Linked DNA regions of Danio rerio. The protein of the gene in region 1 purifies or fractionates together with the protein of each later gene. This does not show direct contact. Links are inferred from orthologs where the notes say so. Each region holds a gene or a part of one and is shown in the gene's direction. Other genes may lie near its edges.

Region 1 (4,472 bases):
TACAAAGCCTAATATTACATTTATAAGTAGTGATTTAATAGTAATACACTTAAAATGTCTGTTTAATATGGGTTGTATACTAGTATCCCACTGTATTGCATAGACCAGCATATTTGAGTTCTGAATAAGCCAAATAGGCTCAACCCACCTGTTTACTGTAGTAAAACACTTTCCATATTCAAGTGCATTTTTTTGTTTCCATGTATTAAATAAATAAACTGCCACTTTTCTAATTAAATGCCACACATAAATATATGTTTTTAAACTTACAGACAAATTCACATATTTCACGATCTGAATGATGATAATAGATAAGAAGTGTTTTTTAATACTAGACAACACTTGATGTTTCTTTCTCTGTCAGTGACTCAGTGACAGTTAAAACGAGTACATTCTCTAAGTGGTTCTGTCACTGTGTTTGATCCTTTCTGTGCACGACTGTATGGTATCGTTAATAATAAAAATTTCTACAAGTTTGGAACAAATTGAGGGTGAGGATTTTAATTTCTAATATAATTAACTTTTTAATAAAAGTCTTTTTAACGTAGAAAATGTGCAATGTATACACTTGAATGTTAAGTAAATACTGTGTACATGTATATATATATTTACATAATTTATTTACATTTGCACTTCTTTCCTGGTATTAAAATAAATGCATAAAATTTGTTTGCTCTGACCACAAAACCAGTCTTATGTTGCACAGGTACATTTTTGGCATTAAATAAAATATAGATTTTATGGATACAAAAATATTGTATTGGAAATTATTATCATTATAAATTGATTTATTTATCATGTTTCATGAAGATATTTTTTAAATGTGCTACTATAAGTATATCAAAACTAAATGGTTAATTGGTAATAAGCATTGCTAAAAAGATGTCTTCTCAATATTTTGATGTTTTTTAATCCTCAGATTCCAGATTTTCAAATAGTTATATATCAGCCAAATGTTGTACTATACTAATAAACCATATATCAATGGAAACCCGATGTATAAAAAAAGAAAGAGACCCTTATAATTGGTTTTATGGTACAGGGTCACATAATTATTATACAATTCATTAATCCCATTCATCCTACAGTCATTAAAAATCTCCATATCAGTCTGCTTGAAAGGGTTTTAACAGGCTGATTGACTTGTTTATAAGATGCCTCACACATGCAGTCAGTCAAGTCTAGGCCATCTGCTTCTTAAAACAGAGCCACTCACCTAAAGTCTACAGAGGTATGTTATTGTCTTTGAGTTGACATATTGACCTTTAACATGTACAGAAATGTCCTCTAAAGAAAATCCACAGTTTTCCATGACAAAAGATTTTACATAAAAGCAAATCTGGTAAAAAAGAACAGCCAGTACAAACTGGCATGTAAACCACTCTGTCCTGCTTCAGGGTGATTTGACCTCCTTAATTACCAAGATGACTTAAGCTGATCAGAAATCTGGATGAAGGAAGTGTGTTTGTTGGGGATCAGTCTCCACCCCCACTTCACCTCTGACCATCTGGAGAAGATCCTGAAGAGACAACAGCATCAACCCCAAGAGCTCAGTTCATCGCCAGACCACAAACCCTACGCATGGTCCCTTAAAGTGCAGATAGTGACCTGTTGCCTCCATCGGCTGACCCACTGACCAATAGGTAAGCGAAACATAACAGTGCTCTTGTCATACTATTTGTATACCAATATAATAGTTATACACCAAGAAAAGTAGCCTTGTGATAGTAAACATGTAACTAATGCTATGTTATGAATGCCATCAAATTGAATTGCAACTTATTCATGGTAAAACTGATTTATCATTGTTAATCACATTAGTATGCTTTTCCATGCTAAATGTGCTGAGTTACAGTACATGTTTAAACATTATGCTTACCTGGGAAATGCTAATGGTCACCTGCGTCATTTTAAGTGACATCCCAGCTAACAATTTTGTGTTTTATAGATGTCTAATAGACATCTAAACATAGAAAGTTTGGCTTAGACAAGGCTAATCTTGGGCTGTCTGTGAAACATCTAAAAATAGCCCAAAACTATACTAGTCGTCAAATAGATAGACTTTATATGTGTAGTCATTCGTTTCTGGTCTAGTCTAGTTTTGGCCTATTTTAAGAGGTCTATTACTTTTCACTGACAGCCCTAATTTAGTTTTGTTTCAGCCAAGATGGCCATGTTCAGACGTCTATTAGACATCTATTATACATCTTTTAGAGACAAAAATGCTTGCTGGATAGTCAAGAACACTTTGTAGACTCTTAATATTTAGGCCTTGTTCTTGGTGATGTAAGTTAGATGGCAAGTTTGTGCACTTAGGAGTTTTGTTCCCTTAGAAGTAAAATAAAATATCCTACTGGACTACAACATGCTTATAATTAATTTTTTGCCCTTGGTCAAAGGAATAGTTCACCCAAAAATGTAAATTCTCTCTTTGTTGACTCAATATTATAGTTCATAAGGGTTTCTTTTTTTTCTGATGAACACAAGGTATGTTATTTTGAAGATTGTTAGAAAGCAGCAGCCATTTAATTCATGACCTACAGTACTATGGATGTCAATGGCTGCTGGTTTCTTCAGAATATCTTGTTTTGTTCTCAACAGATTAAAGAAATTCATGAGTGAATGGTATGGAAATTGTATTTCTTGGATGAATTATCAATTTAAGGAACGTTTTACACTTGTATGAAGTATGGTTAACATCCCGTAATATTAAGCAACCAGGAAACAGAACTGTGCGCACATCTAGAATTGTCAAAGACTAGTCTTTAGCTCTCAATTTTTTTAATCTAACAACGTTTCAACCTACATGGTCCTTATAAGGTTAACCGTATGAAGACCACGCTGGTCGAAACTTTACATTAACGTTTTTTTGAGAGCTAAAGTGGCAGTGCCGATTTTCTCATTACCTTTTTAACATCCCTTTTCACCCAGGGTTATGAAACGTTTTGCTCCATTAACACCACATTGCAGTGAAATTTGTACAGTGTGAAGTGATGTGATATGGCTAGATGTTTAACAATTGAGACCGAATCTTGAGCCTCAAATTTACATAATTTGGACAGTCATGGAAACACTGTGCACTGCATTTGAACTATTGTCTCAGTGTTTAAGGAAAGATTGTTATATGGTGATAGAAAAGGCATCAATTGGAGTAGGGAAAAGATTAACTCAGTTTTAACTTTGTGGTCTAAAAAGTCCATTCAGGGGAAACTTGATAGTGTGGTTTACAATATTTATGGATGCCAAATGATATATAGTAGCTGCTTTGAAATCAGAGATGCTCTAGATTGTGTTGCAGTCATCCAAACATTGATAAAACATCTAACAATATAAAAACAAGGATATTAACCCAGAAATGTATTCTCTTTTTGTTTTTTGGTGCTGTGCAAAGAACTGAAAAAAAAATAATAAATTTAATCTGTTGATAATATATCTGCAAATGTCAGAAGTGTTAAAAGAAACAAAAGTTGTTGGTGTCATAGTGACTTTTAGTGTTTATTTTACCCAGCATCTGCAGACAAACTTGTGACGAAGAATGCTTTTGCAGTATTGCAAAAAATTGTAGTTCAAGGTTATAAAATGGACAGTTCAGCTATGAATGAAAATGTTGGCATTATTTATATATCTTCCATGTGTTTGAACTTTCTTGTTGTTGCTAATGCTGAAGACAAAGGAAGATATTCTGAAGAATTAAAAGAAAAACCGCTGTAGACTTTCATACCATTTTTTTATGTTTTTTTCCCAACACTCCATTGTTTTCAACAGAAGAAATTAATAAAAGTTTAGAGTAAATATTAAGGAAGTTTTTGTTTTTAGGCGAACAATCCTTTTAAGCACCATTATATACCCTAACTTTATGGGTAACAGGTTTAATTGTTCAGTTATGAAAAAACTAAAAAAAAAAAAAAAAAAAAAAAAAAATCTGTCTGTTTACAACAAAAAAAGAGCCATCACTTTACTCTGTAAACTGTATTGTGGCCGTTTTTTTTCCCTAATTAATTTGTATTGCACAAAATATGTTGAACCTGTTCTGCTCCCCTCTGAACAATTAAATAGTTAATTAGACAGTTGTCCCATTGTCCCATGTGTTATACATCTTTAAAATGACTGTAACTTGCCGTGCTGAACAATATTTTACATCCTTTTTTTCTTTTTCTTTTTCTTTTTTTTTTTTTTTTTTTTTTTTTAAGATATTTGTAAATGTACAATGTGTGTGGTTTAACATGAGTGTGACTGCAGCTTTCTTTCCTCAGGGCAAGATGGCCCGGGATATGTCCGATAAGGATATCCTGAAAATGGAGCTGGAACAGCTGCAGAAGGAGGCAAAAAACACCAGAGAGCCTGTAAGTTCTCTGCTTGGTAATTAAACTAGTAGGTCAAAAAGTGGCTTGATTTTGTGCTATATTTATTTAAGTCATGCTTTAGAAGTATTTAAAAAAACTAAATTCTGACATTCCCTTTTTCCTTAAGGT
Region 2 (3,834 bases), on another chromosome or scaffold:
CTATAATGATAATGGCACAGAGAGGAGTGATATCACTGAAATCTCTTTAAAAATGATCTTTTCCCCACTGATCAGTGATAAACACATTTACAAAGAATCAGATCTTGCTTTAAAGGAGCGCTCCATTTTATTTTGAAGTAGCCTCATTTTACAACTTCCCTAACAGTTGAGTTTTACCATTTTTTAATCTATTCATCCAATCTCCGGGTCTGATGTGAGCACTTTTAGCTTAGCTTAGCATAAATAATTAAATTGGATTAGACCATTAGCATCTAAAAAATTTCAAAACAGAGTTTTGATAATTTTCCTATTTAAAGCACAGGGGAAAAACATGAAAAGTTGCTATTTTCTAGGTTGATATGTCTTTATAAGGAACTTTGGTGCTGTACCATAGATGCAGCAGGCGCAGTGAAATTGTAACCTAGCTTGGGACTTTTTTCAGGCGTTGCGTACCATCATTGTACCTGCTGAAGCCATGGTATGGCACCAAAGTTCTTAATCAAAGCCATAAGCTTATTCAGGATTGTGGTTTTAGAGATGTTTGGGCCCTGTAAACCAGGGGTACTCAAACTTTTCAGCCCGCAACCCCTAAAATAACAACTCCACGGGCTTGCGACCCCTATTATGCTCAGAGGTGGTTATAAGCATACAAATATTGCACACAATGGTGCACACACACTAATAGAAACGATATAAACATAAGCATATTGACAACACAAAAACACAGTCCTACAACGATATCTTTTTTACAATCATTATTGATTTGTTTAATTTAATATTAACCTCACTTAATAAGAATGGTGAGCATCATATTTATATGAAAAGACTATTCTTGCTTTAATTTTGGAGAGTTGGAGATCATCCTCCTTGTTCTGTCGTGGCCTTAATTTTTAATGTATGTGAGTGCCAGAAAGGTGTCAAAGTTTAATATTGTACCGTAAAATCAATCTACTGCTCTAACGCTATTGCTGTGATGTGAATCTAGCATAATAACCCCAGGGGTCACAAATAAAATATAATAATTGCTAAAATATGATAATAATAATAGTTTAATAAAATATATGAGATTTTTTTTTAAATCACCAAGCGACCCCCTCCCCTCATTGTCCCACGACCCCTACTTTGAGAACCACTGCTGTAAACAAATTTTTTAAAATGCCATATTGGCTTCCATTAGTACTGGGATATTTTGCCTACTTTAGAAACAGGCCTTACCTCCACGTTCAAATAGTGACAGTACAGTGATTTGGTTAACCTTGTCTTCTGTCCCTCAGGATGCCAGGAAAGCATGCGGAGACTCCACACTTACACAGGTGAGATGAAATTAGATGTATGTGTAATCCTCCAGAGGTCTGTGGCATTGCACTCATGTAGTGTTTGTGCGTGTGGTAGATAACAGCAGGTCTGGACCCAGTGGGGAGGATACAGATGAGGACGAGGCGCACACTGCGGGGCCATTTGGCGAAAATCTACGCCATGCACTGGGGCACAGACTCCAGGTACGTCTGTCCGCTGTCTTCTCATATCTCCTGCATCGGTTCACAAACACACCTGGCATCAAAGACAAGCAAAAATGTAAAAGTAGCAGAAGAGTATGATTCAGTGGCTCGTGACTTGGGTTTTTGTTTTGCACATGTTGTTGGCACAGTATGCAATGCAATGAACAGGACACACTGACCTGCAAACTATCTTTGTTAGTTAATCATCTTAGCCCACACTACAGTCATAATTGAAATGACTTTCTTTAAAGACTTTGTTTTTGTGTCTGTGTGGACTTGGGAATAGTGCATGTACAGTTGATTTTCATGATTGACATGAAAATGTGAATGTTAAAGATGTATACTGTAGAAATAATAATAATAATGAATAATAGTAATTAAAATAAATACTCACCCGAGTCAGGTCATCCAAGATGGAGAACATCAGACATGAGCAGCGTCCTAAATGGCATACTATACTCTATGTACTTAAGCACTTACACACTCAACAGCATATCATATGAATGTAGTGTGTTCCCAAAGGGAACACTAATGGTTTTTTAAAACTAAACAGATATTCAAACGTTGCCAAATTAGTGAAATAAATGACCAAACTACCTAAGAATACTTGCCATGTGTAGAACCACAATCACCATCAGGACTCGGGAGGTGCTATAAGCACTTTCATAGGAAAATTTTGCTTTCACAATCTAAAATAAATAAAGTAATCCAACATCAGTGCCCGATGCTGTGTCCCTTCCGCTACGTAAGCAAAGCTGCAGCTGAGTGCTTGAAGTGTCCAACATTCCACACTCCTGTTTACCGGTTGGATAAGGGCATCATCAGTGTAATTACAAACTATTTACACTGTTTATACAACAAAATGGTGTAGAATAGTGCAGGGATTCTCAACCGGTGGGCCGCAGCCTATTAGTGGGCCTCAGTGATCCTGCAGGTGGGCCGTGAGATAATTAGAATTTACCTAAATATTATACTTTAATTATTTAATTTCATTATTAAACAGGTCATATAAAAATGATAGTAGTAATGCCATTTCCCGTTTTCTGTGATTGAACATAATTCAAACTCAGTCACACAATGGTAAAGGTAACAAAGATGACAGTTATTAAACCCAGCTCGCGCGTGCCTCATGTCTGCGACTCATACTGTTTCAGAATTGCACCAGTCCGTTAATTCACAAACTATGCATGCTCTGTCTTTGTGAACAATTCAAAATATCTGCATAGTTGTCCAAGTTAACATCTTGGGGGTGTTTTATAACTGACGCGCCACCGTACAGGAGCGGTAACTCGGTGGTGCTTCAGTAGTGAACAGCTGTTCACTGTTCAACATCCAGCTACAAACCAAACCACCTTCAGATCAATGTTTCAACAGATTGAATTTTTTTAAATGTATTTTACATGTAGGGTTATGGTTAGGTTGTTTATTTTAATGGCTATAGATCAATAGATGAATAGAAATTAGTCTGATTCAAAGCAGCAGCAGCGTTTTTGCCATCTCATGTAGTCCTGTCAGGTTCCTTTACTGAAGAAAAGGCCCAAATACTCTGCAGTTGTAAAGAATAACTGAATTAAAAATTCAGGAGCTTTGAACCGGTCTGAGCATTTAAAAAAATATTAAAATCTATATTATTATATTTTATATTATATTTAAAAAAGAAATAGTATATATATATATATACATACATATACATACACATACATACACACACACACACACACACACACACACACACACACACACACACACACACACACACACACACACACACACACACACACACACACACACACACACACACACACACACACACACACATACATACATACATACATACATACATACATACATACATACATACAGTAAACACACACACATACAAATGGACAATGTTTTTTTTTTTTTTATAAAATAAGGGAATGATAAAAGGCAAAAGAAATGTTTTGCTAATAAATAAAGCTTTAAAATAAAGACAGTCAGTTTAGGCCTTGCAAAAATTTTCGGAGAAAAAAGTGGGCCTCAATGTGAAAAAGGTTGAGAGCCCCTGGAATAGTGCAGAAGTATGGGATTTGGGACGCACTTAGAGTCTTAGAACATTTAAGAATATCTTCAGCTGAAACTCTGGTTCTTGGTGATTCATAAATCAGAAGTGAACAGTTACTGACATTCTGAAGAAACTAAAGATGGTGTACAAACAAAACAAAATGATTCCCCTTAATTCCTTATGATAATTTAGAAATCTCAGGAAGCCAAATGTTTGAATTGTCTGAGTTCTCCTGTCGCATAATGACAAAAATGAAGACAAGAAGTGTATTACAATCTCATTATGGAAGTA

Evidence for each region.
Region 2: the proteins of gngt2a (region 1) and gnb2 purify together in Homo sapiens (affinity purification with western blotting; 3 studies listed by BioGRID and IntAct, with this or other methods). This does not show direct contact. The link is inferred for Danio rerio from reciprocal best matches to the Homo sapiens genes GNGT2 and GNB2.

The regions. Positions count from the first base shown.
Region 1 is NC_133178.1:21,838,161-21,842,632, forward strand, and holds the start of gngt2a (guanine nucleotide-binding protein G(I)/G(S)/G(O) subunit gamma-T2a), read left to right. Parts: upstream 1-1,499; 5' UTR 1,500-1,643; intron 1,644-4,239; exon of another isoform or gene 4,240-4,253; 5' UTR 4,254-4,259; coding exon 4,260-4,343; intron 4,344-4,470; coding exon 4,471-4,472. UniProt on the Homo sapiens protein: Guanine nucleotide-binding proteins (G proteins) are involved as a modulator or transducer in various transmembrane signaling systems.
Region 2 is NC_133180.1:39,184,313-39,188,146, forward strand, and holds part of gnb2 (guanine nucleotide-binding protein G(I)/G(S)/G(T) subunit beta-2), read left to right. Parts: intron 1-1,274; coding exon 1,275-1,313; intron 1,314-1,392; coding exon 1,393-1,499; intron 1,500-3,834. UniProt on the Homo sapiens protein: Guanine nucleotide-binding proteins (G proteins) are involved as a modulator or transducer in various transmembrane signaling systems.